Arabidopsis thaliana: one gene and its partners. The protein of the gene in region 2 purifies or fractionates together with the protein of the main gene of each other region. This does not show direct contact. Each region holds a gene or a part of one and is shown on either strand. Other genes may lie near its edges.

Evidence for each region.
Region 1: the proteins of AT1G54220 (region 2) and AT5G12040 purify together in Arabidopsis thaliana (affinity purification with mass spectrometry, with the first as the bait; one large-scale study listed by BioGRID). This does not show direct contact.
Region 3: the proteins of AT1G54220 (region 2) and AT4G16155 fractionate together in Arabidopsis thaliana (co-fractionation; one large-scale study listed by BioGRID). This does not show direct contact.
Region 4: the proteins of AT1G54220 (region 2) and LPD1 fractionate together in Arabidopsis thaliana (co-fractionation; one large-scale study listed by BioGRID). This does not show direct contact.

What each region holds. Positions count from the first base shown.
Region 1 is NC_003076.8:3,882,437-3,889,720, reverse strand, and holds AT5G12040 (Nitrilase/cyanide hydratase and apolipoprotein N-acyltransferase family protein), read right to left. Parts: upstream 4,773-7,284; 5' UTR 4,560-4,772; coding exon 4,299-4,559; intron 4,213-4,298; coding exon 4,096-4,212; intron 3,947-4,095; coding exon 3,722-3,946; intron 3,399-3,721; coding exon 3,305-3,398; intron 2,948-3,304; coding exon 2,873-2,947; intron 2,758-2,872; coding exon 2,679-2,757; intron 2,586-2,678; coding exon 2,570-2,585; coding exon of another isoform or gene 2,552-2,569; exon of another isoform or gene 2,362-2,551; coding exon 2,281-2,361; intron 2,192-2,280; coding exon 2,109-2,191; intron 2,028-2,108; coding exon 1,949-2,027; 3' UTR 1,644-1,948; downstream 1-1,643. Other genes in the region: AT5G12043 (uncharacterized protein), read left to right, coding at 827-961; HSP17.6A (heat shock protein 17.6A), read left to right, coding at 5,037-5,507; HSP17.6II (17.6 kDa class II heat shock protein), read left to right, coding at 6,845-7,284. UniProt on the Arabidopsis thaliana protein: Omega-amidase involved in the metabolism of asparagine. Probably also closely coupled with glutamine transamination in the methionine salvage cycle.
Region 2 is NC_003070.9:20,244,468-20,253,009, reverse strand, and holds AT1G54220 (Dihydrolipoamide acetyltransferase, long form protein), read left to right. Parts: upstream 1-2,664; 5' UTR 2,665-2,801; coding exon 2,802-2,840; intron 2,841-3,126; coding exon 3,127-3,217; intron 3,218-3,335; coding exon 3,336-3,400; intron 3,401-3,506; coding exon 3,507-3,592; intron 3,593-3,701; coding exon 3,702-3,739; intron 3,740-4,091; coding exon 4,092-4,147; intron 4,148-4,228; coding exon 4,229-4,303; intron 4,304-4,387; coding exon 4,388-4,480; intron 4,481-4,628; coding exon 4,629-4,868; intron 4,869-4,958; coding exon 4,959-5,031; intron 5,032-5,144; coding exon 5,145-5,245; intron 5,246-5,337; coding exon 5,338-5,423; intron 5,424-5,501; coding exon 5,502-5,577; intron 5,578-5,655; coding exon 5,656-5,723; intron 5,724-5,787; coding exon 5,788-5,854; intron 5,855-5,933; coding exon 5,934-6,029; intron 6,030-6,100; coding exon 6,101-6,203; intron 6,204-6,304; coding exon 6,305-6,400; intron 6,401-6,479; coding exon 6,480-6,550; 3' UTR 6,551-6,984; and 1 more. Other genes in the region: AT1G54230 (Winged helix-turn-helix transcription repressor DNA-binding protein), read right to left, coding at 859-890, 978-1,193, 1,282-1,510, 1,608-1,691, 1,832-1,937, 2,025-2,056; AT1G54217 (Ribosomal protein L18ae family), read left to right, coding at 8,005-8,014, 8,186-8,306, 8,392-8,509. UniProt on the Arabidopsis thaliana protein: The pyruvate dehydrogenase complex catalyzes the overall conversion of pyruvate to acetyl-CoA and CO(2).
Region 3 is NC_003075.7:9,151,730-9,159,457, reverse strand, and holds AT4G16155 (dihydrolipoamide dehydrogenase), read left to right. Parts: upstream 1-2,324; coding exon 2,325-2,642; intron 2,643-2,884; coding exon 2,885-3,031; intron 3,032-3,155; coding exon 3,156-3,290; intron 3,291-3,391; coding exon 3,392-3,494; intron 3,495-3,607; coding exon 3,608-3,732; intron 3,733-3,964; coding exon 3,965-4,090; intron 4,091-4,178; coding exon 4,179-4,259; intron 4,260-4,535; coding exon 4,536-4,598; intron 4,599-4,707; coding exon 4,708-4,782; intron 4,783-4,865; coding exon 4,866-4,944; intron 4,945-5,062; coding exon 5,063-5,163; intron 5,164-5,250; coding exon 5,251-5,364; intron 5,365-5,467; coding exon 5,468-5,581; intron 5,582-5,673; coding exon 5,674-5,745; intron 5,746-5,837; coding exon 5,838-5,888; downstream 5,889-7,728. Other genes in the region: ATOEP16-2 (Mitochondrial import inner membrane translocase subunit Tim17/Tim22/Tim23 family protein), read right to left, coding at 720-866, 965-1,035, 1,116-1,149, 1,323-1,351, 1,447-1,527, 1,648-1,699, 1,791-1,913. UniProt on the Arabidopsis thaliana protein: Lipoamide dehydrogenase is a component of the plastidial pyruvate dehydrogenase complex (PDC).
Region 4 is NC_003074.8:5,785,354-5,793,651, reverse strand, and holds LPD1 (lipoamide dehydrogenase 1), read left to right. Parts: upstream 1-3,126; 5' UTR 3,127-3,268; coding exon 3,269-3,592; intron 3,593-3,681; coding exon 3,682-3,828; intron 3,829-3,968; coding exon 3,969-4,103; intron 4,104-4,220; coding exon 4,221-4,326; intron 4,327-4,411; coding exon 4,412-4,536; intron 4,537-4,782; coding exon 4,783-4,908; intron 4,909-5,006; coding exon 5,007-5,087; intron 5,088-5,462; coding exon 5,463-5,525; intron 5,526-5,628; coding exon 5,629-5,703; intron 5,704-5,783; coding exon 5,784-5,862; intron 5,863-5,964; coding exon 5,965-6,065; intron 6,066-6,170; coding exon 6,171-6,284; intron 6,285-6,361; coding exon 6,362-6,475; intron 6,476-6,644; coding exon 6,645-6,716; intron 6,717-6,840; coding exon 6,841-6,867; coding exon of another isoform or gene 6,868-6,891; exon of another isoform or gene 6,892-6,961; coding exon 6,962-7,144; 3' UTR 7,145-7,267; downstream 7,268-8,298. Other genes in the region: AT3G16960 (plant self-incompatibility protein S1 family protein), read left to right, coding at 1,388-1,598, 1,707-1,840; AT3G16940 (calmodulin-binding transcription activator), read right to left, coding at 7,667-7,696, 7,799-8,092, 8,274-8,298.

The DNA of each region.
Region 1 (7,284 bases), on a different chromosome or scaffold from region 2:
CGATTTGCCGAAATCTTGATGTAGCCATATCATTACGGATTGTCTCATATTGTTTAGACAGATCTCAAGCGTATATAGGTTTAGGAAAAGGATGTGATTAGGAACAAGTAGGGTCTTAATTAATCAAACGATTAATATGTTTAAATATAAGCAAAATGTCTCTTACACCACATTGCTCATTGGTTGGGTCGACAAGGACCGGTTAAGGAATTGTACTTGTTTTGCGTCTTTTTCAGTCTCACATGCTTCCTTCCTTTCTTGTTCCTTCATTGTTCCTCATTTCATAAACACTTATGTCTTCTTCTTCTTTTTTTTTTTCTTTTTTCGTTATGAAAAACACTTATGTCTTCTTGTGTGTCTATTCTATATATCTTTGTCACACTTCGGCCAATGTTTTTCGTTTGACATCTCCTTATCATATCCAGTTTCGAATAATTCCCCCGTAAATATTGTTTCTAGTTTGGACCATACTTTTACCTAAACATAATAATACAAGACAGTTAAAAAAACAAACAAGATATATAGTACAAAACAGAAACTTACATAAACATGACTTCTTGTTTGATTGTTATGAAAGCAAAAATATTTTTGTGTCCTTGTTTAAAATACTATGCCTATAACAATAATATACTCCAAAATTGAGTGATACTATTTGGGAGTAGATATCATTTACACATCATACAAACATTACACTAATTTCTATTTGTATGTTTAAGAGAAATATAATCTATAAAGTAAAAGCAACAAAAACTGTAAGATAATGTTCGCTAAAGTGAGGTTGAATAGATAAAATATTTACAAAAAAAGGGTTACAAAATGATATAAAATGGAAATGAATCTTAAAAAATGGAAACAACTATTTGAGTTATTGGGATATGAGCAAGAAACAGGAGTAAAAGGAAATAATACCGCACGGGGTAGTCAGAGATTGAGCTGGTCAGGGAGAGACAATAAGAGCTGACACAAAGAAAAGAGAGAAGATTCACGCGGTGGTACCGAACTGTGGTGAGGTTTGGTCCTACACGTGACCTGGCACGTGAAGCATAGCCCATGGCCACATGGGCCCCTAGCACGTGCGGCCTCCCACACGCGTACGGCATTCCTTCTTTCGCAGAGTCCCTGTGACGAGCATGGACCACTCTACGTCTTTCTTTACCCTATAGGCTTGGTCCACGTGTCTTCTCCAAAGACGAAACCACTACACACTGTGGTGAATCTTGTAAGGCTTCTGCTGTTGTAACTGCATTTTGTCGTCCGGTCATTTATCATTCAACAATAACCACGGATCTTCAAATCATGTTGAGGCCGCTGACAAAAGTTTATATGTTATTTCATTTTCAAATCTTTTATATCCCACTTGTGCTTGTGGATGAACCTATCTGCATACTCTATATACTCTTTTCTTCTTCTCATCTAAAACAAATTACATTGCATATTACAAATCTTGATGTGTAGCAAAATATACCATGGCTATCTTTGACTTGACTTGAGTTATGTGATGAAACGTTTTGAGTAGGTGTGAACATTTGAAGAACCAGTTATAACAATTTTAGTTTAAGTAAGTACTCGATATTGAATATGATGGTTGTGGAATGAAGATATGAGTTGTTTTTTTCATAGACAATGACATTTACTGAGAAATTCACAAAAATAGTGTATATATTTTGATAAAAAAGTCAAATGCTATTCTGATTGCGAATCACAAGTCTACATTGTTATCAGAATGCATTGAAGTTTATAAACAACAAACACATGGCAAGTGGGTGGAGTTCACATTATCTAAGCAGAATTTACTTGCCTTTGTTCGATTTTAACTCAAAAGTTTGATTTTTATTCTTTTACATATCTCAGCAAAGTTGTGGAGAAATGACTGATCATGCATGAAGTTGTAAGTAACCAAATCGTGCTCAACTCGCAATATCTCTCAGATATACAGTTACTGCTGCGTTCATTTAGAGTCTAAGCGCTGTACGTCTACAAGCTGGTAAAGATCTCCCCGCCGCTGCCTATTCAATGGAAGGCTAGTCCTAAGATGGTAAAAAAAACGAGATTCAGTTAGCGGATCACGCTATCAAAAACCAAGAAAGTTCTGGTGTTTCCGTGATTACCTTCGTTGTTCAAGGATAGAGTAATCAATCTCTGCTATGATAATGGCCTCCTCATGCTCAGTCGTTGCTAGTACTTCTCCAAACTGTCAAATAATATATATGTTTCAAAGTTTAGTGATCAGCTAAAAGCTTCATTATCAATCAAGTAACACAGAAAAAGTTTAGTGCTTACAGGCCCAACGAGTGTTGAGTGCCCCCAAGCAGTGTAGCCAGCTCCTGAATCTCTGGCAGGTGAGCATGTCGCCACATATAACTGGAGAAAGTAGCATACATAGTTCTATTAACCGGTCCATGACTTTGATAACAGTCAATTAAGTAAAACTAACCCCAAAGAGCAGAAGATAATACTTGTATTGATAACTCAAAGAAAAATGCAGGTTTGCTATGAATTCATTAAGAAATGTCAGAACTTGTATCTCTCTTTTGGCTATCAATACAAGTATTTAACTTGGTTCATGTACCTGATTATCCGTAGCCCTGAAATGGAACAAAACAGATCGATGAGCATTGTGATTTACCCATGATTAAATAAGCCAAGAAAGTCGTAATGTAGTAGACTGTGAATCATACCTGGCCCTTTGTAGTAATTCCCAATGCAATGGTCCAGTTGTCATGTTAAAGGCTCCCGGGTAGCACAGCAAATGAGCCCCTGATATGATTAAAGTAAACATGTGGGTGATGAGGTTCTTTAAAACGTAATGGACCCGAAAAAGAGAGGAAGCAGATAGTCCATTTGGATAAAGCATTATGATATGAAGACTCACCTCTTGCAGCATATATCATAGCTAACTCCTGGAACCTGATATCATAACAGATGCCTATTCCAATACGCCCTACATCTGCAACAACCAACAAAACTATCATTCTCAAGCGCTGCACCGCGTTAAAGATTTCTCATAAGTACTAGAAAGTGAGAGGTGATGTGAACGGTCCTACTATGACTTGATTGTTCAATAAAGACATTTCCCCAGTCAAAATAGTTGGCAAGATCTTAAAAACATTATTATTCATAAACACTAGGCCAGCATGAAAATGAATCATTTCACTGTTGAGCTAAGAAGATCCCAAATCTGACTGGAAATTTAAATCCTTAATCCTAAATTATTATTTTTAGATAGTACCACAATGAGTTTATGTAAGATACATGATTGTTTATGCATGACCTGGAATTATATTTGGCAAACCAAGATTATAACCTGTGTCAACGATTGTTGGTGTCTCTCCAGCAGTAAGAGTTTTGGATTCCATAAAAGTAATCTTCCCGGGAATGTCTATATCAAATAAATGTATCTGTATGCACACACAAGTACAAACACAAATAAGTGCAAGCAATCAAAAACAAGATGTTCTGAGAATTGATAATATAAGCATAAAACGGTCAAGGCCATCTCGCCTCATAATTTGTCCTTATGAATCATAGAGGAAGAACTCGAACCAGAACATAACTACCACATCATTCTAATTACTGATTCTAAGTCTATTAGATCCTAAAAACAGATGATAAAAGATGAACAACGATTTTAGAAGTAAGATTAGCATCTTTCATTCTATGGCCTAAAGCAGAGGAAAGTTCATTATTTCTTCTATGAAAGTTTAATCTCAAAAAATCTAACCTTCCGATGCTTAGCTTTTAGCTCTCCATCGGAACCAAAGACACAGCAAGTGTTATACAAACGATCTCCAACTCTTTCTGGTATAGATCCACCAATGATTGTAATCTTGAGACGTTTGGAAACTTCAGAAAGCATTGCCGTTGAAGGAGAAGCATCACCACCTGCATCAATCTCCTCCGCATAAACTGGAAAACTATCATTGGAATACGGACTGTTCCAAATTTCCTGAAACAAACCCATTGAATGGTTTTAAACCCCATAGAGACGATACCACTAGCTCATACTTTTTGTAAATTTTACACATTTGAGCAACAGAACATTAGAATTGAACTCACAAAGAGCTATGAGCTAAGATACAAAGAAGAAAAACTCACGGGTAAGAGAACAAGCTTAGCTCCTTTAGAAGCAGCTTCTTCAATGGCTTTTTTAGCATGAGAGATGTTTCTCTTTTTGTCAGATGTAACAGATAGCTGACACAATCCGATGTTGAACTACAAAATTACCCATGGAACGAAGAAATCAATCAAAAGCTGAAATGATTGAAAACCCAAAGGTAAATGAAAAGAAAGGAGCTAACTTTGGTCAACGGAGGAGCTGGGAGAGGAAGAGCAGAGGGAACTCTAGCTTGTTCAGGGTTGAAAGAAGAAGCCATGGAAGAGGAAATGGATCTTAAAGCTGAGGTTGACGAAGATGGGAGCTTCAAGGTGTGACTAGTGATCGATCTCGGAGATAATTTAGGGAGGAAGTTAGATTTGAGAGAAATGAAGCGAGAAAGAGGATTAGGGTTTAAAAGATTCTTCGAATTGAAGAAGAGTGACGATGAAATTGCTGACTTCATTTCACTTTAGTCCGATGATCATATAGGTAGGTAGATGATATTGATACTTCACCTCACAAAAGCCATGACTCATGAATCCTCTGCGTTTGCGTTTCAACCGTATTGACGCGGTTCAATCAATTTTATACACTAAATTCGAATGAAATCGTACCAAACCGGATAAATTTAACATCCTTACTAAATCCAAAACAGAATACATATGGGCCTGAAAACGAATTGGTCTTGGGCCTGACCGAATCAATCGCTTTTCTCTACATTCGTCTAGAAATATCCATCTACACTTCTCCAACGATCAAGACGTTTCTCGAACGTTAGAGAAGCGCTTTTAAGTTCTATAACACCGAAACAATCGCTCTCTCTACATTGCTCTAGAACTATCCAACTCAACTTCTATTTAATACTTTCTTACATCAAAATCAAAATCAATCAAACCAAAGAAAAAGCCAAGAAGCAAGAAAGTTAACACAACAGCTAAGAATGGATTTGGAGTTTGGAAGGTTTCCAATATTTTCAATCCTCGAAGACATGCTTGAAGCCCCTGAAGAACAAACCGAGAAGACTCGTAACAACCCTTCAAGAGCTTACATGCGAGACGCAAAGGCAATGGCTGCTACACCAGCTGACGTTATCGAGCACCCGGATGCGTACGTTTTCGCCGTGGACATGCCTGGAATCAAAGGAGATGAGATTCAGGTCCAGATAGAGAACGAGAACGTGCTTGTGGTGAGTGGCAAAAGACAGAGGGACAACAAGGAGAATGAAGGTGTGAAGTTTGTGAGGATGGAGAGGAGGATGGGGAAGTTTATGAGGAAGTTTCAGTTACCTGATAATGCAGATTTGGAGAAGATCTCTGCGGCTTGTAATGACGGTGTGTTGAAAGTGACTATTCCGAAACTTCCTCCTCCTGAGCCAAAGAAACCAAAGACTATACAAGTTCAAGTCGCTTGAGTTTGTTTGTGATCGTGTTTTTGTGTTTTAATGAATGTAATCGATAAGCAACTACCTCTTGGTGTTCGTTGTAAAATGAAATAAAAATAGTTTTCTCTGTTCATATTTGTCTTTGTGTTCAATCTTCAAATCAATGAAGTTTTTGCTCTCTTGAACCATCCATGCTTATGAGGCAAAAATAGGACCACAACAAAAAAGACACCGAATGGTCATTCCTCTGTTTTTGCAGAAATTATTACTGTTCATCCTTTCCTAATATCATTGGTGCTATTTAGCACATTGGCCATCAAATCCACATTTGCATTTCACCCTTATCTCTGCAGTCAGCAAAATATATTTTTGGAGTTATGTCCCTTGAAGTAATTTATGGGTATGAGATCAGTAACACAGTGTTATTATATCTGCAAAAACTCTTACATATTCAATTTTATCCTTTAAGTATTAGATGAAAGGAAACAATTTTGTTATTCTGATTTTAAAATCCAAACAACTCTTTGTACTTTTTTCATGTTGGATAACGTAACTGAATCTTCAGCTACTACATCTGTAGTATAATACGAAGTCTGATATCTCAATCTGCTACATTATTTTTTAAATGAAATTTGCATTTGCGAATGCAAATAACATCAACTGAGTTTTAAGACAAATCAAGTTTTGTGCAGATTTGTAACCGTCTTTAATAGCTTATATTAATGTCGTTATACACGATTTAGTGGTATTCAGTGAGTTAGTGCTACCACATATATAGTATTTTTCTTTGGTCACTAAAATAAATATGGTCTTTCATTAATTTTTCTGACCAGAAACCAGAGCATATACTAATTTAGTCTTGTTTCCATCATTAAGACTTTGAACTTCTGATCTTGAGGTGCATGTTGTACACTTGTAATCCAAGTCTTCAGCAATTGTATGTACTTTCCAGTTGAATGTATTCTTTAAAATGAGCAATATTGTTCGGATTCCTTAAATCACAAAATTTGTTCTTTAATTTGCTAAAACACTAATCTTATGAATCATGAACTATTTTCACATATGGAATGGGCCTTGATATATTCCTAATTTAAAAGCCCATATAGATATTAAAAATTCTGTAAAGTTATGGCTCATATTTTATCAAACCTGAGTTACAGAGTTCACAAAAACCAGAACGACCAAGACGTTTCTCGAACAATACGGAAGAACTTCTAAAGACCGCGACAATCGCTCTCTCGACAATCCTCTAGAAATATCCATCTCCACTCCTATTTAAGTCCCCACATTTCTCACATCAAACTCATCAAAGAAAACAAAAAGCCAAGAATCAAAGAATCAGGAAAGCAAACACAACACAACTAACAATGGATTTAGGAAGGTTTCCAATAATCTCAATCCTCGAAGACATGCTTGAAGTCCCCGAAGACCACAACAACGAGAAGACCCGCAACAACCCTTCACGAGTTTACATGCGAGACGCTAAGGCAATGGCTGCTACACCTGCTGACGTCATCGAGCACCCTAACGCATATGCATTCGTCGTGGACATGCCTGGAATCAAAGGAGATGAGATCAAGGTTCAGGTCGAGAACGACAATGTGCTTGTGGTGAGTGGAGAGAGGCAGAGAGAGAACAAAGAAAACGAAGGTGTGAAGTATGTGAGGATGGAGAGAAGAATGGGTAAGTTCATGAGGAAGTTTCAGTTGCCTGAAAATGCAGATTTGGACAAGATCTCTGCTGTTTGTCATGACGGTGTGTTGAAGGTTACTGTTCAGAAACTTCCTCCTCCGGAACCAAAGAAACC
Region 2 (8,542 bases):
TTTTTGATATCTTCAAAATTGCCTTCGATTGAATAAAACTACGCCATTTTCGTCTTGAAATCGCATGATATGAGACGTATTTGGATCATTCGTGTAAATCTCAAATCGGTTTCCATGGAATAAAATAAAGATCTTACTCGATAAAGCTTGAATTGAATGGGATCTTCTTGAAGAGTATCAATGGTGATCTATCACTTATATACCTGCGCTTCAGAGAAATCCAATCGCAGTCGTCTTGTCTCGCCGGAGAAGACGATGTAACTAACTCTCTTTCCCGCCTTTCTATTTTTTTTTTTTGGTTTTAATATTTCCAACTGCACAATCGTGAATATATAGCAATCTAATTGGGCCGTTACAAGTTCTTAGAGGGCCTAAACCAGGTCTAGAGTTAAAGTCAACTTTAATTTCCCCCGTATTCAGAAAACCACATTATAAGCATATAATGGGCTAACAATAAGGCCCACTAATTACAAAAGTAAAATTGAAATTGTAGTCAACTCTCCTAAATTGATCACTGATCTCAGGACTAAAAACTAATCTCGATCGTTAAATATAATTCGTTTAGAAAGAGTCTCACACTGCTTTTTTTTTAATGTATTAGAAAAATAGATTAAATTCTACAAAAAAATTATCTGCAAATGCAATGCACAAACTTTTTATCAACAAAAAGAAAAAGATTACATTGTTGCCTTTACAATCAAAATCGTTTAACCTCTAATCTACACAGAAGTGACAAAATCGATCAGTTACAAATGAAATTTAAACACTTTTTTTTTTAAAACTCAAAAGCCAAAAAAGCTATGAAAGAACCGGTAATCGAATACATCCACATTGAACCGGACCAGAAGATCAACGCTTTTACCGCAGGAAAATCTTTTGACCATTAGCACCTGCAAGGAACAAAGCAAAAAGGCAGTGATGATGATGATGGTTTTGAATTATGATGATGATGTGGTTAAGAGGTGGACATTACGTACATCGGTTAAAGATTTCTACGGCTAACTGCAAGATTATCTCGCTTTCTAATTCTAGCAACTGGGCGTGTTTATCTGCAAGTTCTTGTGCCTCTTTTGCTTGGAACTCCAAGTGTTCTGCCTCGGCGATTAATTTTGCTACTGCGTCCATCTGAGGATTTTCTTCTGGTGCTCTTGGTACGAGAGAAGTACAGAGGAAAATCATTTGACCATTAGCACCTGCAAGGAACAAAGCAAAAGGCCAGTGATGATGATGATGATGGTTATGATGATGATGATGATGATGTGGATAAGAGTTGGACATTACATCGGTTAAGGATTTCTACGGCTAACTCCAAGATTATGCATTCGGAATTTAGCATCAAACTGTATCTATCTGCAAGTTCTTGAGCCTCTTTTGCTTGGAACTCTAAGTGTTCTGTCTCTGCGACTAGTTTTGCTACTGCTTCTGCCTGAGGATCACGTTGTGGCGTTGTGGAATCTTCTCTAGTAGCAGGAACACGTTGGGGCATCATCATCATGTAGCGGTTTCCTACCTGCATTTGCAAGTTTTTTTTTACTGAGCTGACCAAACAAAATTCTATAACGCTATCTCGCAACTTGCATTTGGTATTAGGCAATGTATGGAGTTACCTTCTCTATTTTTCTTTCAGCAACTAGTTTTTCAACCTCGCCTCTCAATCGCTCCCTAGAATTATCCGGTATCACGTACCGGTCCTGAAATTTATATTAACCACAAGAACAACTTTCAAACTAGTATCCAAACAAGCTATACATGTCATCATCATCATCATCATCATCTAAGATCAAACCTGAAAACGGATACTTATAGGTAGAGGGAAAGAGATTCTACTAACATTGTTAAATTTGAAAATCCCATCGACATCACGACCAGTTCCATCATGTTCATCATCTATTGTTGATAAAGCTTCAAAAACCATATCATCTAAACTTAACGTGTACCTGAAGAAACAAAAGTATCAAAACAAACCAGAAAGCAAAGATCAATTTCAAAACATTTCTGTTCAAGAATCCAAAAAGGTCACAAACTCAAAGGTAACGTTCGCATCTGCAGAATCCATGGCCGCTGAAGAAGAAGGCTCTTCGCTGCAAAATAGAAAGAAAGTGGCAAATTAGGGGTTAAAAGATCAAGAAATTGATCGCATATCGTTGTGATCGAGCTCTTTGATTTCCCAAAACTTGGCGTCGATTTTAATCAGAAATTATGCCATTTTGGATTTGAGATTAAAGAACCCAAGATTTCACGAACCCAGAGGAATCGTTCGCAGCTGATGAACTATCTTCAGAATCCTTGGCCACTTAAGAAGGCTCGTCTCTGAAAAAACAAAAGAAGAAATAAAGATTTTGATCATTCGCGTAAATGTCATTCGGTTTCCATGGAAGAAGATAAATATTAAATCTATATACCTTTGAATTTGAGATCTTCAAAAAAACTCAATCGCAGTCGTCTCGTCGGAGAAGAAGACGTAACTAATTCTCTGTTTCCCGCTTTTCTACTTCTTTTAATTTCCCAACTGCAAAATCATAAATATAGCAATACGATTGGGCCATTATAAGTCCTTAATGGGCCTGTCCTCAGGCCTATAATTAAAGTCAGCTTTAATCTCGACCGTACAATTATGCTCCGATGATAAAGTCCTTAACAATTTTGCTGTCTCTTGGTAAATCAGAAAGCTGAGAGCAACAAAAAAACAATTTCTAGTAATAAAGAGAAAAAAAAAACTAAACAGTCCAAACCAAAAAGTTTTCTTCTTCCATAGTTACTAGTTAGAGCTGCGAAACGAAAATCGTAACGATAGTGCATCAATGGCTTATGCGTCACGCATCATTAATCATTCCAAGAAGGTAACTGTTTCTCGATTACATTTTTCCTCCGTTCATTTTGTTATCTTTTTATCTTCTTCAGCGATCGAGTATTGATATTACGAAATTGGGTTATGACGAATTCTTTCTGCTTTTAGAAATTCAGTTGAATTGTAATAATCTAGAATTGTTTTTACTTACGAGCAATGTGCTAAAATTAGCTAGATTTAGAGCTCTATGATCATTTGTGATTTATGTGTCAGCTTGCTTCTTAGAGATGATTGAGATCTGTAACGCCACTTGTTTTAATTTTTTTTGTAATTGACAGTTGAAGGATGTTTCCACTTTACTACGCCGTGAGAATGCTGCAACGATCCGCTACTACTCGAATACTAATCGAGCTCCTCTGAACAGAGAAGGTAATATTATCCTTTTGAGGTAGAAATTTTCCATTTGTACTTTTGTATGGTTTTATGGTTAGTATCTGTGAGACTCTCTGCTTGTTGCTTCAGCTTTTTTTTTTGTTATGGTCTTCAGATACTTTCAATTCCCGTCTTGGTTATCCCCCACTGGAGAGGATTTCCATATGTAGCACCAGCACTGTAAGTTCCTTACTGTTCTCTGTAGCTGTGTAGCTGAGTCTCTTCTCGTTGAATCATGTTGACTAGTTAGCAGAAACCTTAAGAGTTTTACATGGTCTTGATGTAGTTACCGGTGTCCATTATTTTTTCAACTACGAGATCAAATCTAAGCAGTGCAATGGGAAGGCCAATATTTGGAAAAGAATTTTCATGGTTCAGTCTCATTCTCTTACTCTATGTGGCGGATGTGCATTAGCCTTAGCTGCCTGCTTGTATAGATACTTTTTATTCCTAACTATAAACTTTTTTTTCTGCATACCAGTTTGATGCAATCAGCTAGAGGATTTTCATCGGGTTCAGGTAGTCAGCTTTTTCTCCCTGACCTTTAAATTTGTTTTATGAGCTTTTGTTCACTTTACTCTTGTAGTTTCCACCTTGATCTTACATACATATTCAGCGACTCCATTTTAGCTAAGGATAATCTGTTTCACATTGCCATTCATCTGGTTTTACTTGAGCAATATCATATTTAATGACTTTGCTAGAAAAAGGTCATTCCTTCCTTGGATACAGTATCTGGATGACGGCTTTACTGCAAGATCCTACTAAGACAATTGCATAGTGCTTAATCAATTGCGTAACTTAAGAATGCTAAATGGTATGAGCTTTACATTGGTTCATTTTACCTAGAATTTCTGAAAATGTGTTTCAGATCTGCCTCCTCATCAAGAGATCGGGATGCCTTCTCTCTCGCCAACAATGACTGAGGCATGGATCTTTATTTACCTCTTGATCAAAACTTATGTCCGTTTTATCTTTATGTTCTAATAAGCTTTTTCCAATTTTTAGGGTAACATCGCCAGGTGGCTGAAAAAAGAAGGTGATAAAGTTGCTCCTGGGGAAGTACTCTGTGAAGTTGAAACTGTAATGTCAATGTAGATTGAGTCTCATTTCCGTATTTTTATTTTCATGTTTTGGAAATAACTCTGACTAGGTTATGTTCAGTAGGACAAAGCAACTGTCGAAATGGAATGCATGGAAGAGGGCTATCTCGCCAAGATTGTAAAGGCGGAAGGTTCAAAAGAAATTCAAGTCGGCGAGGTATGAAAATTGTCTGCTTTCTGTAGAGTTATGTATTATCATGGTTTCTCATGGGGCTACGGGTATTGATATTAGGATCCACAGTCCATTTGTGGAAATGTTAATTGAAATTATTTGGATAATGTCATTTTTTTTTGCTTTCAAATAGGTAATTGCTATTACAGTTGAAGATGAAGAGGACATTGGAAAGTTCAAAGATTACACCCCATCATCTACTGCTGATGCCGCTCCTACAAAAGCAGAACCAACTCCTGCCCCACCAAAGGAAGAGAAGGTCAAACAGCCATCATCGCCTCCTGAACCGAAGGCCTCCAAGCCTAGCACACCTCCCACAGGAGATCGTGTTTTTGCTAGTCCTCTTGCAAGAAAGTTGGCTGAAGATAATAACGTTAGTTTCACAGTGTTCTAAATATTCTGTTTTTTCTTATTATTCCTGCTTAATTTTTCTTCTTGTTTACTTTATTTAAAAAAACATCAGGTGCCTCTCTCAGACATCGAAGGCACAGGTCCTGAAGGACGGATAGTGAAGGCAGATATCGATGAGTATTTAGGTATAAGTAACTCCATGACTCGTCCTTTCCTTTCTTTTTCTTTCAGACCTTTCTTGCCTCTGTTTACAGTTATCACTCATCCTTGTGTCGTAATACATCTTCCAATGGTGCAGCTTCAAGTGGTAAAGGAGCTACTGCGAAGCCATCTAAGTCAACTGATTCTAAGGCCCCAGCTTTGGACTATGTTGACATCCCTCATTCTCAGATACGAAAGGTAAAACCTATATTACTCTCGCAGCCTTTAAGCCAGTTTCAATAGGTTCAACGATTCTGAAATCTCGTTCGTTAACTTTATAATTTTGACAGGTCACAGCCTCACGTTTGGCATTCTCAAAGCAAACTATCCCTCACTATTACTTAACCGTCGATACATGTGTTGACAAACTTATGGCGTAAGTATAAAGGTTTGGATGATGTATTTTGAGTCGCTGTCAATGGGTAAGCTAAACTAAGCGAATTTGTAAATGCAGTCTGAGGAGTCAGCTTAATTCATTCAAAGAGGCTTCTGGTGGGAAACGGATATCTGTCAATGATCTTGTTGTTAAGGTACATCTTTCTTGTGTATACTTTACATGCAAGCCAACAGATCTTCTAAAATATCCTACTGATATCATGCGTTTTTAGGCTGCTGCATTAGCTCTCAGAAAAGTTCCTCAGTGCAATAGTTCATGGACTGACGATTACATCCGCCAGTAAGTACATTGACAAACTTTTGAATATGATTGTGGTAGCAAACATTGTAACCTTTCTCTATAGGTTTAAAAATGTGAACATCAACGTCGCGGTGCAGACAGAAAACGGGCTGTATGTCCCTGTTGTGAAGGTGTGTTCAAAATAGTGTTTAACCCTTGGCTGTAGCACAAACTTCAGATTGCTGAATTATATAAATTTCTTGATTCCAGGACGCAGACAGGAAGGGTCTGTCCACAATTGGAGAAGAAGTTCGGTTATTAGCTCAAAAAGCAAAAGAGAACAGCTTAAAGCCAGAAGATTATGAGGTGAGAGAATTCATTATCTTACTCACTAATCATATCTTTCAGTAAACATGCTAATAATCTCGTTTTCTCAGGGAGGAACATTTACTGTCTCTAACTTGGGAGGACCTTTTGGCATCAAGCAATTCTGTGCAGTCGTTAATCCACCTCAAGCCGCCATTCTAGCAGTTGGATCCGGTATGCTCTCTCTCAATGCAGAAGAGAGTTTTTTTACTACTTTACCAAAGATCCAATAACCGATTCGTGTTGTGTCTGATTCTTAAAAAAAAAAAAAACAGCTGAAAAGAGAGTTGTCCCTGGTAACGGTCCAGATCAATTCAACTTTGCTTCTTACATGCCTGTTACACTGAGCTGTGACCATCGCGTAGTAGACGGTAATCCAGTTCATTCATCATCATTGATTCATTCATTCATCATCATTGTAGAAATCTAATATTCTTCTTCTTACTGCAGGTGCCATTGGAGCTGAATGGTTGAAAGCATTTAAGGGATACATCGAGAACCCTAAATCTATGTTACTCTAAAAGAGAACCAACCACGCAATGGAAAAAAACACATCAAAAGCTGTCGTAAGAGTCTCTGTACCAATTAGATTTTCTTTGTTTTCCTCTGTTTCTTTCGGGTTTTTCTAAAAAAGACTTTTGTTGTTTTCTGAATAAATATGGTGTGAGGGATTCAGCATTTCCACTGTAAACTGGATTTTAGGATATTCTTTGCTGGTTCTGGTTGTTCAATGTTCATTGAGGAGGGCTGTGAAATAAAACTCCCATTATTTTGTCATGTGAAGTACTACCCTATATGGGATGGGTTTTGTAACCATGCTTGATAGTTGATACAAGTGGATGGATTTGAGTGAGTGAGTGAGCTTTCGTAATCTCTATTTAAAATAATAAAAAAATCAAAACAACATTTTTACACTATATTCAACATTTGAATGGCAAAAGAGTCCATACCAATCCATTATAGTCTTGTTTATTGTTGTAAAAAAAAACTGCTTGTATTCAATCAAAGTCACTCTATTTATTATCCATTGGGGTTTTTTTCCATGTGGTAGCAGAAAGCCAGAAACAAATTAATGTTGTGATTTTGATTTGTCTCAATAACGGGAAACGGAAAGAAATTACGTTTCGATTGTTCCGATACATTCTGAATGTCACTTGATCCTAAATGCAAAACAAAATCCTAAGTTTTTTCCTAAATACTCAATCTCATATTTATTTATGGGTTTAATGATTTTTTCTGATTTATTTTATCAATAATGTTTCATACATAGTTATCTGATTAATTTATTCAGTTATTCACAGTTTTATGTTACACAGTTTTAAGTCTAAATCCATTAAAAATATCTTTTCAGCCATTATTATATCCCAAAAAAATCAATAAAAATCTTCAGCTAACTTCGTCGGAAACGAAATAAACAAATAATAAATAAAATAAAATTGAGAGGAACCAAAAAGAAAAAGAAAAAAACGTTAGACAACGAAAGCAAGAATCTCTCTTCCCGTCGGTCACGGTCGCGAATCTCTCAGGCAATCTTTCTCTCTTTCTCTTTCTCATTTTGTCTCTCTTTCTCTATCTCAGAGGCAAGTTTCTTTGAACAACTTTTCTGGTGATTTTTTTGTCCCTTTCTCGTTTGATTTTACTCTGAAAAATTCGTCCTTTTTCTCTCAGGATCAATAGTTTTTTCTTCTTAATCGCTTTCTTTTCCAGAACCCTCTCATCGTCTTAGGGTTTATATTAAGTTCGTTTTTTTTCATCTTCTGTATTGGATCATCATAATAATTTTTGGATATCGGAAAATGTAGCTTTTCTGAGATTTCTCCTGATTCTTATTAGCTGACATTTGAGAAAAAAAACTCAGCTTTGTCTTTTTTACATTTAATCATTTTTGTCTGAGACAATTTTCTGATTGAATGATGTTCAGGTTACTTGGTGAGAGGAAGTTTAATCGGCGCTACAAAATTGCACTTCTTTCGCCATGAATTCGAGTATGTTCACAAATTGTCCATTTCTCTTGTGACACCATTGTTTGTTTTTTATCTTTTACTATTTGAGTTCCTTGTGAATGTTGGACTCAGCTTTTTGTTTACATGATTCTTGTGACACCATTATTTGCTGTTTATCTCTTACTGTTTGTGAATGTTTGAATATGTTGTTAGCAGATTTAGAGGAACAAAAGAAAGGAAAGTATGTTCTAATCCGTGATGATGCTGAGGACTCTGAGTTAGGACAATTCTATAAGCCCCTTCCTTGCTTCGGTTTTGGAATCGGATGGTTCTCGTGAGTACTCACTCACTCTTTTTTCTTATTATTATCGAGGATATATTGTCTTGTTGAAGCAGAATCTTTTACCTCTTTATGTTAGGTTTCTTCTAGGATTCGTCTTCCCGTTTGCGTGGTACGTTGCTACATTTCTTTATTTGATCAGCTATTACCATAGAGATCCTCGGGAAAGATCTGGTCTTGCTGCCTCTGCTATAGCTGTGAGTTCTCGGATCCAAATGCATTTCGTTCTT
Region 3 (7,728 bases), on a different chromosome or scaffold from region 2:
TGAGTTTCCTCCTTTGAGTTCCAAACATCTGCCAAATAAACATGTTTCTTAAACTTTTTTGATTTTTCTGATCTTACGTACAACAAATTCTCAGAAGATCTAACCACCAAAAAATGTGTGGAACAACACATGTAAGAAGACATGCAGTATTTTAATATTCATATGGTTTTTTAACTAGAAATCTCATTGTTTTTGGTACCATTTATCTCTTGTAAGGATATGTTTGCAGGTTCGTAAGTCGTATTTCCTCATTATTTGTTGTTAAAGTCTCAACTTTGAATGTACTTTTTTTGTTAAAGTCTAAATTTGAATTTAGCTGTGACAAACTTCAATTTCACCATTATAACTTTTTTGTTGGTACATTGAAAGTCGTTTCTCTATTCAATGACAAATATTATTCACCTTCACATGAGCGTCACCATTTTGATTTCCAACACGAATGTCGTTTTTGTTGTTACGCTGCCTCACGGGTTATTGTCTGTGCAGCGAGCCCACAAGACCCGCATTTTTATCCAAATAGATAAGGTTACGTAATAGGTACTACTCAAGATATATATAGTGCAAATATTTTCCAAACAGATAACAAAACGATCTCTCTCCAGCTTCGAGAGTTTCAGGAAAAGATCTTAGTAGACCTTTAGCGAATTCGTTTTCACAAAAAGAAACATAACTGATACATGAAACAACCCTTATGCATTAAAGCTTCTAATACAAATCATCTAGAAAACGCTAGAAAGGAGATTAGCAGCGGTGGAAATAGCTGCTCCAGTGAGAGCAGACTGAACCACTTGCTCATGGCTTGTCCTCTCAGACGTCGTCATAGCCATTGCCGCTCCTGTCAATGCTCCAGCTACCGCGCTGTTCCGCTGTGACACATATCAAATTACATACTAATTAAAGATCATGTTCATCATTTGTTCGTTGATGAAAACAAAATGACACAAGTCAAATTAATTAGACTAACCCAATCATGAGCTCCTCCACGAACCTCTGTCATACCGTAAGTGATACCTGAGTATAACCCTGCCGCTAGCCCTACCATTCCCAAATCATTAAATCTCTTTCCAACGTTAATCGTGAAGCGTTAACTTAATCAAATTCATATATAAACTCACCCCATTGGAGAGATTCTTTTCCTGTGTTCTTCACCTATAGGCCAACAAATTTAAACATTTTCAGTTAACTAACAAGAAACCTTATGAGTTACGACCATTCTTTATGTATTATTTTGCAACACTTAGATATGAACACACTAGCACACTAGCACACGAATATTTGACGAATAATAAAAGGCTAATAATTAGCGATTGTAATAAACTCACCAATGCATCAAGAGATTTGCTGCTTTCCCCTGATTAAGAAAACAACGATAAAACATCATTAAGATAAACATAATGCTGATTACATAAGATCATCAACCAAATATGATACAATTATGTTACGGACCTCTGAGATTAGGGAACCTATGTTTCTTGTTCCCTGTAATCTCCGACGGTGGACCCACGTTGTTCGAGTCAAAACCTGCCCCTAAAATGTATAATCAAACTAAAGTACGTTCTCTATTTATTCATTTTCACTCTTACATTACATACTCATTTCTTATACATATAAATCATAAGTAAGAAGAAACCCGCCGGAGTTTCTTACCGTCAACCACGGTAAAGTAAGCTTCCCTTGACACGGCTTGTAAAGCTCCCACCTTCATAGTTAATCCATATTAAGCTATGTTACTACATATATGTTACATGCATATACGACAGGGAAACGAAGAGATATGGATGAAAACTTACTCCGGCGGCTTTAACGAAGGAATCTGCGATACGGTTAAGAAGAGGATGACCAAGATCGAACAAGTGTGCCTTCTCAAAGCTTCTTATCTCATCCATTACAATTCTTCCTCCACTCTTCTCCATTTTTTTCTTTCTTTCTTCACTTGTTGCTTCTCTCTTTCTCTGTTAATACTTCTCTCTTCAACAACAAGTAAGGAGAAGATTGTGAAACAGAACAGCGTTCTTTTGACACGTGTTCTGCTTTTCCACACGTGTCGGAGTCTGCCGTTTGAACTGTTCGCCGTTCTCCTTCCCCACGTGGCTCTCACAAGATAACGTCAGGCAGACCGAGAAATAAAAGGCCCAATGGGCTCAGAGTTGGATATTATAGCCGGGAATTTTGAAATCTCCGGTTTAAAGACGAGAAACGTGACACGTGTCATCTCCGCTTTGATATCTCCGCCTCCGCTCGTCGGAGTGAGACTAGTACAGACTTGTCATCTCCGTCACTCCCTTTTTCTCTACACAGATCTCTCATTCACTCTCTCGTACACAATGCAATCGGTTCTTTCTCTTTCCTTCTCACAAGCATCGCTTCCTTTAGCGAATCGTACGCTTTGTTCATCCAACGCAGCTCCTTCTACGCCGAGAAATCTCCGGTTCTGTGGACTCCGGCGAGAAGCGTTTTGCTTCTCTCCGTCGAAGCAATTGACCTCGTGCCGTTTCCATATTCAGAGTAGGAGAATCGAAGTCTCCGCCGCTGCTTCTTCTTCCGCTGGAAATGGAGCTCCATCGAAATCATTCGATTATGATTTGATCATTATCGGAGCTGGAGTTGGTGGCCATGGAGCTGCATTGCACGCCGTCGAGAAGGTCCTCTTTCTTCCTCTTATTAATTAGGAAGAATTCAAGTTCGATTATGATTCTATGCTTTGCCAATACTCTGGATCAAATTGATAGTGGAATCATATGCTTTGTTTGATAGAGATGGTTCAGGAATGCTTTGCAACATCTTCTTCAATATGCCAATTTTGGAATCGTACTAGCTATTACTGTATTTCTTTACGGTATTCATGATCTCATCGAGTGATTGTTGTTTTGATAACGTTGTATAGGGACTCAAAACTGCTATCATTGAAGGAGATGTTGTTGGAGGTACTTGCGTTAACAGAGGCTGTGTGCCTTCCAAAGCTCTACTTGCTGTTAGTGGTAGGATGAGGGAACTCCAGAACGAACATCACATGAAGGCTTTTGGTTTGCAGGTAGTAAAAATTCCTGTAGAATGCAATTGTAGACGCTCAATTTTGATCTCAAATCATTGTGAAGCAAGTATCATCTTCCTGGCCTTGACTCTTGTTTCCTTCCATTGACTCCCTTGGAAAACAGGTTTCAGCTGCTGGTTATGACCGCCAAGGTGTGGCTGACCACGCAAGTAACCTGGCTACCAAAATTAGGAATAATCTCACCAATTCTATGAAGGCACTTGGTGTTGACATATTGACAGGGTTTGGCGCTGTTCTGGTCAGTATGTTATTGTCTTTGGTTGACTATATAAACTCCAAATGATAGGTCGTTGTTATGTGGTGATCCTAATACTCTTTAGTCTTTTGTGCACTTTGCAGGGCCCACAAAAGGTTAAATATGGTGACAATATTATCACCGGAAAAGATATAATCATCGCAACTGGATCTGTACCGTTCGTCCCGAAAGGAATTGAAGTTGATGGTATGTGTTTTTGTATAAATGATATGTGAAAGGGGAGTTGCCTCAAAAACCAAAGCTTCTCATTTCTTTTAGTATAGCAAGTACCCTAATATTCCTCATATTTTGTGCTGCAGGAAAGACTGTTATCACAAGTGATCATGCATTGAAATTGGAGTCCGTTCCTGACTGGATTGCGATAGTAGGAAGTGGTTATATCGGTCTTGAGTTCAGTGATGTTTACACGGCCCTTGGAAGTGAGGTAACATTTTGATTTTGTGCTAATGATTTGCACTGGTGTGATAGTGTGTTGTTTTTTGCGTTCTCTTTAGTTTTCTGTTTTCTCTCAATAGTAACAAAAGGCTCTTAGGATGTTGTTGTATTGGTAACCTGATCGAGCAAATGGGCGATAGCTATATTTTGCTTAAGGTTTGTGATGCTCTGCAACTCCAGGAAGTGACCAAGCTCAGGGGAACTCTTTTTTTTTTTTACAGGTAACTTTTATTGAGGCACTGGATCAACTAATGCCTGGATTTGATCCTGAGATCAGTAAGCTGGCTCAAAGGGTTCTAATAAATACAAGAAAAATTGACTACCATACTGGAGTATTTGCAAGCAAAGTAAGCCTTTTTGTCTCATGCATTTTAAATTAGATATCTTCCTTACACAGTGGGTTTACGAATTTTTTTTGTTAACGCTTCTTTACAGATCACTCCAGCAAAGGATGGGAAACCAGTGCTGATTGAACTAATTGATGCCAAAACCAAGGAACCCAAGGATACTTTGGAGGTAACAAAATGTTCTGCAGATATCTGAAAATTTACAAGAGAAAATAGTTGTCTAGTTACTCTCACACATGTTCTTTTCACATGCAAAGTATATAAATCAATGACATGCATACTTTTGTAGGTTAGCCAGGGCTTTTCGTATTATAAAATCAGATCTTTTCCTAAAAATTAAAATAATAATAATAATAATAGAATGTCTTGGAGTTACAATCACATTTGAGACTTTCATGTGTTTTTTGCCTGCACTGAAAGTTTGACCATAAGTTCCTTGTTCAAGGTTGACGCTGCTCTAATTGCTACTGGAAGAGCTCCATTCACCAATGGTCTTGGCCTGGAAAATGTATGAATTAACAATAAACCCCATTCCTTATGAATATGTTTTCATTTTCGTTCCCTGAGGACCTTATTTGGTTACTAAAGAAATAATAAAAGCTGTGATTTCCTCACAGATCAATGTTACCACACAAAGAGGTTTTATACCAGTTGATGAGCGAATGCGTGTTATTGATGGAAATGGAAAGCTGGTTAGTGGAGTTTTCTTTCATATAGCTTATTTCTTACCAAAAGTTATATATTTTTAAGCTACTGAGTCACTCTTGGTTGATAGGTTCCCCACTTGTACTGCATCGGTGATGCCAATGGTAAACTGATGCTTGCTCATGCAGCTAGTGCTCAAGGAATTTCTGGTAAATGGTTTTATCAATATTTCACTCCAAATGCATCTTTCTTTTGTTTTTCCTTTTCTACACTGAATACGTTAGATTGACCTTTATTAAACTCTATGCATCTACTTGTGTTGGCTAGTGGTGGAGCAAGTCACAGGTAGAGATCATGTGCTTAATCATCTTAGCATCCCAGCTGCTTGTTTTACTCATCCTGAAATAAGTATGGTGGGATTGACAGAGGTAACCTCTAGACACTCTTAGTGGATTGGTTTTTAAAAAATTGCAATCCTAATTTATGATTTCGGTAATCTTTAATGCAATTCCCAGCCTCAAGCGAGAGAGAAAGCTGAGAAAGAGGGATTCAAAGTAAGTATCGCCAAGACAAGTTTCAAGGCAAACACAAAGGCCCTAGCCGAAAATGAAGGAGAAGGACTCGCTAAGGTGAAGAGAAGAACCAAAAATTGAAATAAAAAAAGATAGTTGTATATAGTTCTGGAGTGACTTGCGAAGATAAGATATCTGAACACTCTCTTCATGTGAACAGATGATATACAGACCTGACAATGGTGAAATCCTTGGAGTTCATATATTTGGATTGCATGCTGCTGATCTTATCCATGAAGCATCAAACGCGATTGCTTTAGGAACACGTATTCAGGTCTGGCTGCAAACTAACCTCTCTCCGGTATTGATCATAGGACTTTAGATTGTGAGCTTTTTTTGTGTGTCTTTGTGTGATGATAAATGCAGGACATAAAACTTGCTGTTCATGCACATCCAACACTGTCTGAAGTTGTAGACGAACTGTTTAAAGCAGCCAAGGTAAAATACAAGAATCTACATTTGCATTCTCTAATCAATAGACATCGAATCTCGATTAAAAGGCAAGCAACTCCTGTCTATATCAATTTCAGGTCGATAGTCCAGCTTCAGTAACAGCACAAAGTGTGAAAGTTACTGTGTAAACATGAAGAATTTAAGAGCAGCCTGTAACAAAAGTTTTGTGGAAAAGACATTTGTACTTCACCAATATTCATCAAAGGACGAAGATTGCGTCTCTAGTTTCATCACGTATATTTGTTTCATGGTTTTGACAAACTGTATCTTTATTAGATTAAAAAAAAAAACAGATTGTGACAGACACAAAATTAAAGTATATTTATTATAAGTCAGAAATCCAAAATATATAACAGAAGAAAGACAGTAAGCAGGAGAACTTTTAGACAAACTAAAAAACGTTTTAGCTTTTTAGCGTCAAATCTCACAAGTCACATAACGCAATACAAGACTATCCACCAAACAAAAAGAAAAACTAACGACAAGACGCTCTATGGAAATTTCCCAGCTCCAGGATCAATTTACCACAACACCCTTTGAAACTTTTCTGAAAACCGCTTCTTAAAAGGTCGAAATTGCCCCTCGTCATTTGCACAAATTTACAGTTCCTCCACAACACAACACACCCACTCCTCCTCTATTATTCCATTCAGCTCTCCTCCGTAGCCATTTGATCAAGTTCTTGCATCCCATCATACTCCAGCTGTGTTACATTTTATAATTTACCATAACCAATTATCATAATTTTGCAAGTGAAATTGTGTTTAATCTATTACGAATATACTTGAAATGAGTAAAGAAAACAGAAAGCAGCAAAAGATTTTTACCTGAGCTTCTTCATGAGCCAGTTTCATCCTTCTGTAATCTTGCTGAGCCTTCTTGGACCGGAACATGGCCTGGACTTTAACCACTGACCTCTCAAGCCGTTCCTCCGCTTGTTTCTGGCTTGTCTTGTAGAAATCCTCCACCGCCTCACTCCCTTCCTTCTCGTCAGGTTGACTTACCTGAAGGCCTCTGAATCCTTTTCTCTTCAGTCTCCATCTCAGAATTGCCTTCTCAAGAACTCCCACTGACCATGTTATTTTCTGGTACTGTCTTCTTACTTGGAAACCTCTAAACGCAGCCTGCAAAACATTGTCATATTCAAAACCATAGAACAGTTTTATACGGTTGCAGATAGTTTCTCGTTTCTTTTCTTAAAGACGGTAGAAAGATTAGCTTTCGCTTGTACCTGGATCCTAATTGCCTTCTTTCGCATGTTCAGAAATTCCCGCCTCATTTTCCATGTTTGGAACCTATACTGAATCCGAGCAGCGGCTGCAATCTTCCTACGAACCTCGAAATTGCGAAACGCGTGCTGAATCTTCATCGCGGCTATTATGTTTTTGGCTTCTTCTTCCTTGCTAGCAAACCTAACTGCGCTTGACCTAACTTTCAGCTCGTGCTCCCTGAACGCTCCCTGAATCCGCGCCGCTGCCTCTGCAGCAGTTCTGTATGCCGCTAGAGTGTCCTTCAGGCTTTGCTCCTCTTCATTTGCATTCCCTGGATTTGACGACTTCTCTGCCTTGATGGTTTCAAGGTTGCCACTAATGTTTCCAGCCGTTTGCATGTCCTTGAACTGTGCTACAAGACATTTCTCAGCAAGAAAAGCTGCTAAACCGTCATAACCTTTCTGTTGTGCCAGATCAGCTGCCGTGCAGCCGCCGAGGAATTCCTTAGTAGGGTCTGTCACCAGGTTTGGCCTTGCCCCGCAGATAGAAGAGCAGCCACCATTTTCTCCCTTTAAAAAAAAATAAAACTTGGTAAAAAAGTAAATTAAATAAAACGGATACAAGATTAGCAAATCTCATAGTACTTGAAATATGCAAGTTAGTTTACCTTCCATAGTATGCTGCCCAATGAAGAGCAGTCCAACCCTGCTTATCACGGAAATCCAACGATATATTTGCCCAGGAGAAGAGAAGGATT
Region 4 (8,298 bases), on a different chromosome or scaffold from region 2:
TGTCTACTTCTATTTTTCTAATAAAAATAAAAATTAGTATTTCATGTTTAGATGAAAATACTGTTAGTTAAGAGGTACGGTTATTTAACTGACTCAAGACCAATTATATAATCGTGATGAGATTTCCTTCAATATATAATTTTTATTGACTATATATAGCTTTATATTTACCAAAATTAATATGTGACTTTAATGGTGAGAAATATATAGCTTTCCTTATATACCTAAGTTATAAATAGATTATTGACTACATATATTACTAGGCCCGCCTATTTAGGCGGGTGTACCCGAAATTTTCAAATACTCGAACGGGTCTAAACTTCAAAACCCGAAAAATTTGAACCCGAACCCGAATAGGTATCCAAACATATCTCAAATATAAGTATATATTAGTTATATTTATACTTATATATAAAAAATATTAGGATTTTTTTGGATATTTTAGTGATTTTTGTGTATTTTTAGATATATTCAAGCAAAACTACTCGTGTTGTTTTGGGAATTTTTGAAATTTTCAAGTAATTTAATAAATTTGCACACAAAATTTCATATTTCAATATATAAATAAACTCGAACCCAAACCCGAACCCAAACCGAACCCGACCCAAAATCTTAAATTACCCGAACGGGTCCTAAACTTCTAAACCCGAAAACCCGAACCCGAAATACCCGACCCGAATACCCAAACGCATAGGGCTAATAATTAATTAAAAAAAACAATCCACAAAAATATTTAGAAACCAAACATTGTTGAAAATATATTTTTTGTATATGCCGTAATCTCGTAAGTTAATTTTACATCATGCAAATTAATATTAAATGAGTTAAAATTAATAAATGAAAATAATTGAAAAGTTAAATCCTATAAGCTAAGCTATTTTTCTCAAAATGTTATATTTTTCACTTATGATTAGATGAGTTAAAGACAAATTTGTTAATTTTCCTTTTGTTGAATAAATGTTAATTGTTTATAAATATATAGACGTATAAATTAGTATATGTAAATTTGTTTACTTTTTAAAATTTTCAATTTTTTTTAGAGAATAAAAAAGTTAAATTTTGAATGACACATGTAAACATCTGATCGTTTGACTTGACATGTGTAACAATTATATGAGTTAGCAACTTTGAAATCCATACTTTATATAATAAGATATAGCTGTCTTTTTACCAAGATGAGATTTCCTTTTATACCTAATTAAGTTTTACTTTGACTCATATTATTCAAAACATATAACCTATGTAACTGAGTCAACAAAACAAAGAAGCTTGTTAGGGAAACATAATCAATAAAGTTTGGTATTATAAATACAATAAAGTACTAAGTGGAAAGAGTCCATATTCAATATACTTTCATATTGCAAGGAAAACAAAAAACAAAAACAACATGGGTGCTCTAGCAGAACTTGTAGCTCTCATTATCGTTATGTGTGCAAGTGTAACAATGTCCCTCGCTCAAAACCCCATGGCTTCACCACCAAGTGTTGAGAACCCAAATACAACAGTGGTGATACATAACGCTCTTTCAGGTTATTGGCCAATGGCATACCATTGTGCATCAAAAGACGTTGATTTTGGACTCCGACGTATGCTAGCTGGTGGATCGTGATCATTTGAATTTACACCCAGTGTTTCTGGAGATACTAAATTCATTTGCACTTTTGCTTGGAGACTAGTGTTTCGTTATTTCCGTATATACATACAAGAAAGAGACCAAGAATCTGCAATGTTTGGATGCAAAAGATGCGAATGGAAGATACGTGAAGAAGGACCTTGCAAACTGAACAAAAAGACTGGAATGTTTGATCTTTGTCCTCCTTGGGATTCTCAAAATATTTGAATTTTTTTTAACATTACTGCTCTGTGTAGCTACCTTTATTTATCTAACAAATAAATTAATAAAATAAAATAAAACATTTGATCTTTAAAATCGATTTTTTGGAGCCTTTTATTCGGTATATACCGAAGTTAATATAGAAAAAATCAAGTTAACACAATTGCATTTTCTTGAAACACAGAGAATTTAAGCATAATGATCATAAACATGTTACCATTTACCAAATGACTTTATCATGCTTCTTTGGCTACTTGAGCAAGAGGATCTACACCATTTTTAGAGCAGAAATACACTCCAAAAAAAAGTAACTCAAGTCTCAAGATGAGTTGCTAGCACCAAAAGATATTGCGCGGCGCTGGCTTCAACAAAATCTGATCTACGTTTCACTAGACCAACAACTAAAATAGGGTGGTCGTCCTCGCTTTTGTGCTCCAGAATTCGTCCATTACTGGTTGGTGAATACAAAGCAAAAAATTACGAAAACGTACTTGAAGTTGTGAACTGTTTTATATAATTTACCTTTCTTCAAAACGCCATAGAAGCATAGAACGATCGTGTAACAACCATGCACGTCAAATCTCAGGGAAAAGTCCATGTAAGATTGTCCCTTCCTTATCATACATACATGTCCTTAACTAAAGAAGGTAATTTCCAATATGCGTCAACCTCGGCCCACGGCTGCACCAGGACAACATGAAAAATAAAATTAAAAACCATTAAGGAAAAAAGCAAGCAATTTGTTTCATGAATATTTATGCATAGATATAATTAATTACCTTGCTTGTTTTTCAGGTGATGGATTATATAAATTACCACGGCTATATTTTGTAAAGTCAAAGAATTCGTTGATTGGACGACGCTGCAGCGAGCCTTCTTGGCAGTAGTGGTTAATGAGTTCCCATGCGAGTTCCACATTCTTCATCGAAATCAACATCTTGCTGGCTACTTTTAATTCACTACTAGAACTGTCGAGCAAGTAATAACATAACCCTAATGAAACAAATTACACGATCTTATGAGCGTGAAGTGGCTACGAGGTATTTCATAAAGCATTTTAATTTTGAAAATCAACTTCACTATCCAAAAAGTTCCTAAAATCTAGAGAAACTAGTTTTTTAAGCGATTTGTTTTTAAGTTTGTTACAAAATCCAAAAATTAATTTAAATATATATTCACAGCCAAAAATGGGCTACGAGGTCTATTGACCCAATGGGCTTTTTAAGACTTAAACCAGGTTAGAAAAAATGAAAGAAAAGTCGTAAATGCCTCGTGTACAAAAAAAAGTGGTTAAACAAAACAAAACAAACAAACAAAGCGGGCTTTGAAAACTCCGCCTCCGTTTGTTGGCTATTTACACTCACTCTGTCTCCGCCGGTAGATTTGTCAGCTGCGTCTTCCTCGTTTTCTCTCTCTCTGTCTGTGTCTCTTAGAATGCAATCAGCTATGGCGCTTTCGTTCTCCCAGACGTCGTTTACAAGACCAAACCACGTGCTCGGATCATCTGGTTCTGTTTTCTCTACGCCCAGAAGTCTCCGGTTCTGCGGACTCCGGCGGGAAGCGTTTGGTTTCTCAACGTCGAATCAGTTGGCTATTCGCAGTAACCGAATCCAATTTCTAAGTAGGAAGTCATTCCAAGTCTCCGCTTCTGCTTCAAGTAATGGTAATGGCGCTCCACCGAAATCTTTCGATTACGATTTGATCATCATCGGAGCTGGAGTTGGTGGCCACGGAGCTGCTTTGCACGCCGTTGAAAAGGTTTGAAGTTTCTTATATAACCTGATTTGATGAAAGTAAAAGATTTGCTCTGCTTATTATGGAAACATTGGTGATTTTGTTTGTGTTAGGGACTTAAAACAGCCATTATTGAAGGAGATGTTGTTGGAGGGACTTGTGTTAACAGAGGATGTGTGCCTTCTAAAGCTCTTCTTGCTGTTAGTGGTCGAATGCGGGAACTTCAGAACGAACATCACATGAAGTCCTTTGGTCTCCAGGTAAATATCAACTCATGTTCTCTGTTTAAAGTTGCAAGCTTTGTCTTTGGTGTGAAATGGTTGTAGAAGATCGAGCTAGTTCAGGAATTACTCATTACCTTTCACTATCTTATGGTTTTTGGTTTTCCTTTGGGAAACAGGTTTCAGCTGCTGGATATGATCGTCAGGGTGTGGCAGATCATGCTAATAATCTGGCTACCAAAATACGAAACAATCTGACCAATTCAATGAAGGCAATTGGTGTTGACATATTGACTGGATTTGGCAGTGTTCTGGTCAGTACTCAGTAGTACGTTCTATTCTTTCACGTTTACTAACTGTAGACAGGAACATGATACAAACTTTTCTTAAACGATGATCCTAACTCATATCAATATTTTGTATTTCTGCAGGGTCCACAAAAGGTTAAATATGGGAAGGACAATATTATTACTGCAAAAGATATAATCATTGCCACTGGATCTGTGCCGTTTGTCCCTAAAGGAATTGAAGTTGATGGTACGTTTCTTGTTTTGGACGTAGAGTTGTTAAGGGAGCATGCAGACTTGATTATTCCTTGAATGTTTACATTTTGGCGCTGCAGGAAAGACTGTGATCACCAGTGACCATGCTTTGAAATTAGAGTCTGTCCCTGAGTGGATTGCAATTGTAGGAAGTGGTTATATTGGTCTTGAGTTCAGTGATGTTTACACAGCTCTTGGAAGTGAGGTAACATGATGTTTCTGTACTAATGATATTACTTTAGTACGACTTTGTGATGTTGTGTCCTTGTACTTGAGATTGTAATAACTGCAATTAGCAATGTTCTCCAATTTTCTAGTTCTTTGTTTGGTCTCTTCCTGTATTGAGCTTGTTTTTGTGTAAATAGTAGAAAATAAGATTTTAAGGTACCAATCTGTTGGTTTTTCGATTTAAATTGTAGTTACTGATCGAAAACGGAAACCTTTTGTGCAGGTAACTTTTATAGAAGCACTGGATCAGCTAATGCCTGGATTTGATCCTGAGATCAGTAAGCTAGCTCAGAGGGTTTTGATAAATCCAAGAAAGATTGACTATCATACTGGAGTCTTTGCAAGCAAAGTGAGCCTGTTATATCATGCATTGCAAATACTGCTTCTCTTTCTCTATACAGTGTGTCCATGTATTCATCTGTTAAACTTAAATCTATTCTTATTCAGATTACTCCGGCAAGGGATGGGAAACCAGTTCTGATTGAGCTTATTGATGCCAAAACCAAGGAACCTAAGGATACTTTGGAGGTAACCAAATGGAATTTAAAAGATAACATGATCTGATGTCTCACAAAGAGAATATTTAACAGTTACTGGGTCCTTAACATGATCTGATGTCTCATGCCTGAATTGGGAAGATTTGTGCCGTTGGTAGTGGGTCCTTAGAAGTCTTGTTTTTCACTTTTTTGCTTTTCGCTGCAGTATTAACCACATTGTTACTCTTCCCACAGAAATGTAAGTATACACATTATGCATAGGTGGATTAGTAAAGCTTCTCATTTTCTGAATTTATTGTGGCCTTTCGTCTCAAGATAGAATATAAATAGTCATGTCTTTTGGTTTCTTTTCATTGTACCATGTGATTTTCTGCGCTGAAAGTGTAATTTTGTTTTCCTTCTCCAGGTAGATGCTGCTCTTATTGCTACTGGGAGAGCTCCATTCACCAATGGACTTGGCTTGGAAAATGTATGAAATGACACTAAATCCCACCTTTTAGTATTGTCATTTTGGTTACCAGAGAATGTTTAGTTGTCAGAAAATTAACCTTGAAGCTGTCATCTCAATGCAGGTCAATGTTGTGACGCAGAGAGGTTTCATACCAGTTGATGAGCGAATGCGTGTGATCGATGGAAAGGGGACTCTGGTCGGTTTTATTTGCATATACATACCTTTTCCTTGTCAGCAATTCTTTCTATATGCTAAATTCATTTCTACTTGTGATAGGTTCCGAACTTGTACTGCATTGGTGATGCCAATGGTAAATTGATGCTTGCACATGCAGCCAGTGCCCAAGGAATTTCTGGTAAATGGCTTATCAGTAGGAGGCTACTAACAATGCAATAATATTTTCCCTTTTTTCTTCTTGAGCCTTGTATTAAACTCTGAGCTCTTACTCTGTGGCTAGTGGTCGAGCAAGTCAGCGGCAGAGATCATGTGCTTAATCATCTTAGCATCCCAGCTGCTTGCTTTACTCATCCTGAAATCAGCATGGTGGGATTAACAGAGGTAGTTTTATATCCTAGTACTTGTGTACAGAAGAGGGTCAAAAAGAAGAATGCTATGAGCAAAATATGCTTACTGTAACTCCTTATGTTTTGACATTATTGCTAGCCTCAAGCAAAAGAAAAAGGCGAGAAGGAAGGATTTAAAGTTAGTGTTGTCAAGACAAGTTTCAAGGCTAACACAAAGGCCCTAGCTGAAAATGAAGGAGAAGGAATAGCTAAGGTGGGAGAAGCAAAAGTTGTTGATTTATTTATGTCTCATGAAAGAACATAGAGATCTCATTGCTTTTCATTATGCAGATGATATACCGACCTGACAATGGTGAAATCTTAGGAGTTCATATATTTGGACTGCATGCAGCTGACCTTATCCATGAAGCTTCTAATGCGATTGCTCTAGGAACGCGTATTCAGGTAGGATTTCATTGATTAGTGATTACTATTGAATCTAGCTCGTAGCCTTTGATATTGATAATATCCTACAGCGAAATCAAGTCATATACATAGTTCCTGCTGAAACTACTAAACGCATTATTTGTATCTGTTTCTTGATCCCCTGCATGTTTTAATGGTATCTCTGCAGGACATAAAATTGGCAGTTCATGCACATCCAACACTCTCTGAGGTCCTCGACGAACTGTTCAAAGCAGCCAAGGTAAAGCAAAACAGTCTCCTCATGCCATTGATCAGAGAGCCCCTTTATTCTTAACTGCAATCAATAGATTTAAGTCCTCTACTAAAAAGCAAAAGAATCTTACACTATAAGTTCAATTTTTCAGGTTGAAAGTCATGCTACGACAAGGACAGTAAGTGAAAAAGTGGTTGTATAATAAGAAACCAAAAACTTATTGGGGTGGGGAGAAACATCTTGAAGAAAGAAAATTTGTGATTGTACTTTAGGGAGATGCAAAGATAAAGCTAAACACGAACCAGGAAGATCGAAAAGGAAGAAGAAGAGGAGGAGATGATGAGAAACAACCTTCCGTAAGTAAAGACTTGAAAGATATATCTACAAGGCCTTCTTCTTTCTTTGAGAATATTTCTGTTGGAGTCTTGTCTCTGCTTTCACTTATATTTGTTTAATTGTTCCATGGTTTCAATTAGTGGAGATTGTGGTTTTGGTTATTGTATGTTTGTTTGATGTGAACGATTTTGGATGATTCTTCTCTTTTTACTAGTAAAATCACTTGTCTGTCCATTATTATCAATCAGATTCAGACGTGAAGTGACAGATGAACCTAGTTTTTTTTTTTGTCAAACAAACAAACAAGATGAACCTAGTTTAATGTACAAATGTTCATAAGATATTTCTCTGGTTACTTGCAATTTTATTCTACAAATATACAAGTCTAGATTACACCAAAGTCACATAGGAACCCAGTTACAGAAATAGACAAATAACTACAATACCTATTTGTTAATTCTGTCTCTCTTTTTCATACAACAGAGATTAGGTCTCGTTATGTATACTTTATTCTAAACCAGTTGCAGAAAGATCGAGAGTAGCCTTTCCCATTCACATAATTTACAGATCAATTACCATCCATGTTTAACAATCAACACCAAACTCTCTTTGACTCACCTCTCCATAGCCATTTTGATGTATCAAATATCTTCCAGGCAACCGTACTCCAACTGTGTCACACCATAACAAGACTCGTTAATTCAAGTATGAACTTATCTCCGGTTAGAGTTTTTTTTTCCAAAACTGAGATTCAAAAATGTCAGATGATTCACCTGAGCTTCTTCATGAGTGAGTTTCATCCTTCTGTAATCCTGTTGAGCCTTCTTAGACCTGAACATGGCTTGTACTCGCACTACAGATCTCTCGAGCCTCTCCTCTGCTTGTCTCTGGCTTGTCTTGTAGAAATCTTCCTGTGCCTCACCAGGAGAATCCTCCTCTGCTGCAACCTGGAGTCCTCTAAACCCTTTTCTCTTTTGTCTCCACCTCAAAACTGCCTTCTCCAATACTCCTACCGACCACAATATCTTCTTGTACTGCCTCCTTGCTTGTAATCCCCTGAAAGCAGCCTGCAAAATAGGAGGAAATACACTCATGTGTTGCAAAATTCAGACAGACGATATGATAAAGGTGTGAACTTTCAGTCTCCTATAGTTTGTGGAATTTAGACAAAAGTGATGATTATGAATAGCCAAGTTCAGAGCAAACTTATAATCTTGGCTGCTGAATCTTGTGTGGTTCACTTCATACCTGGATCCTAATTGCTTGGCGCCGC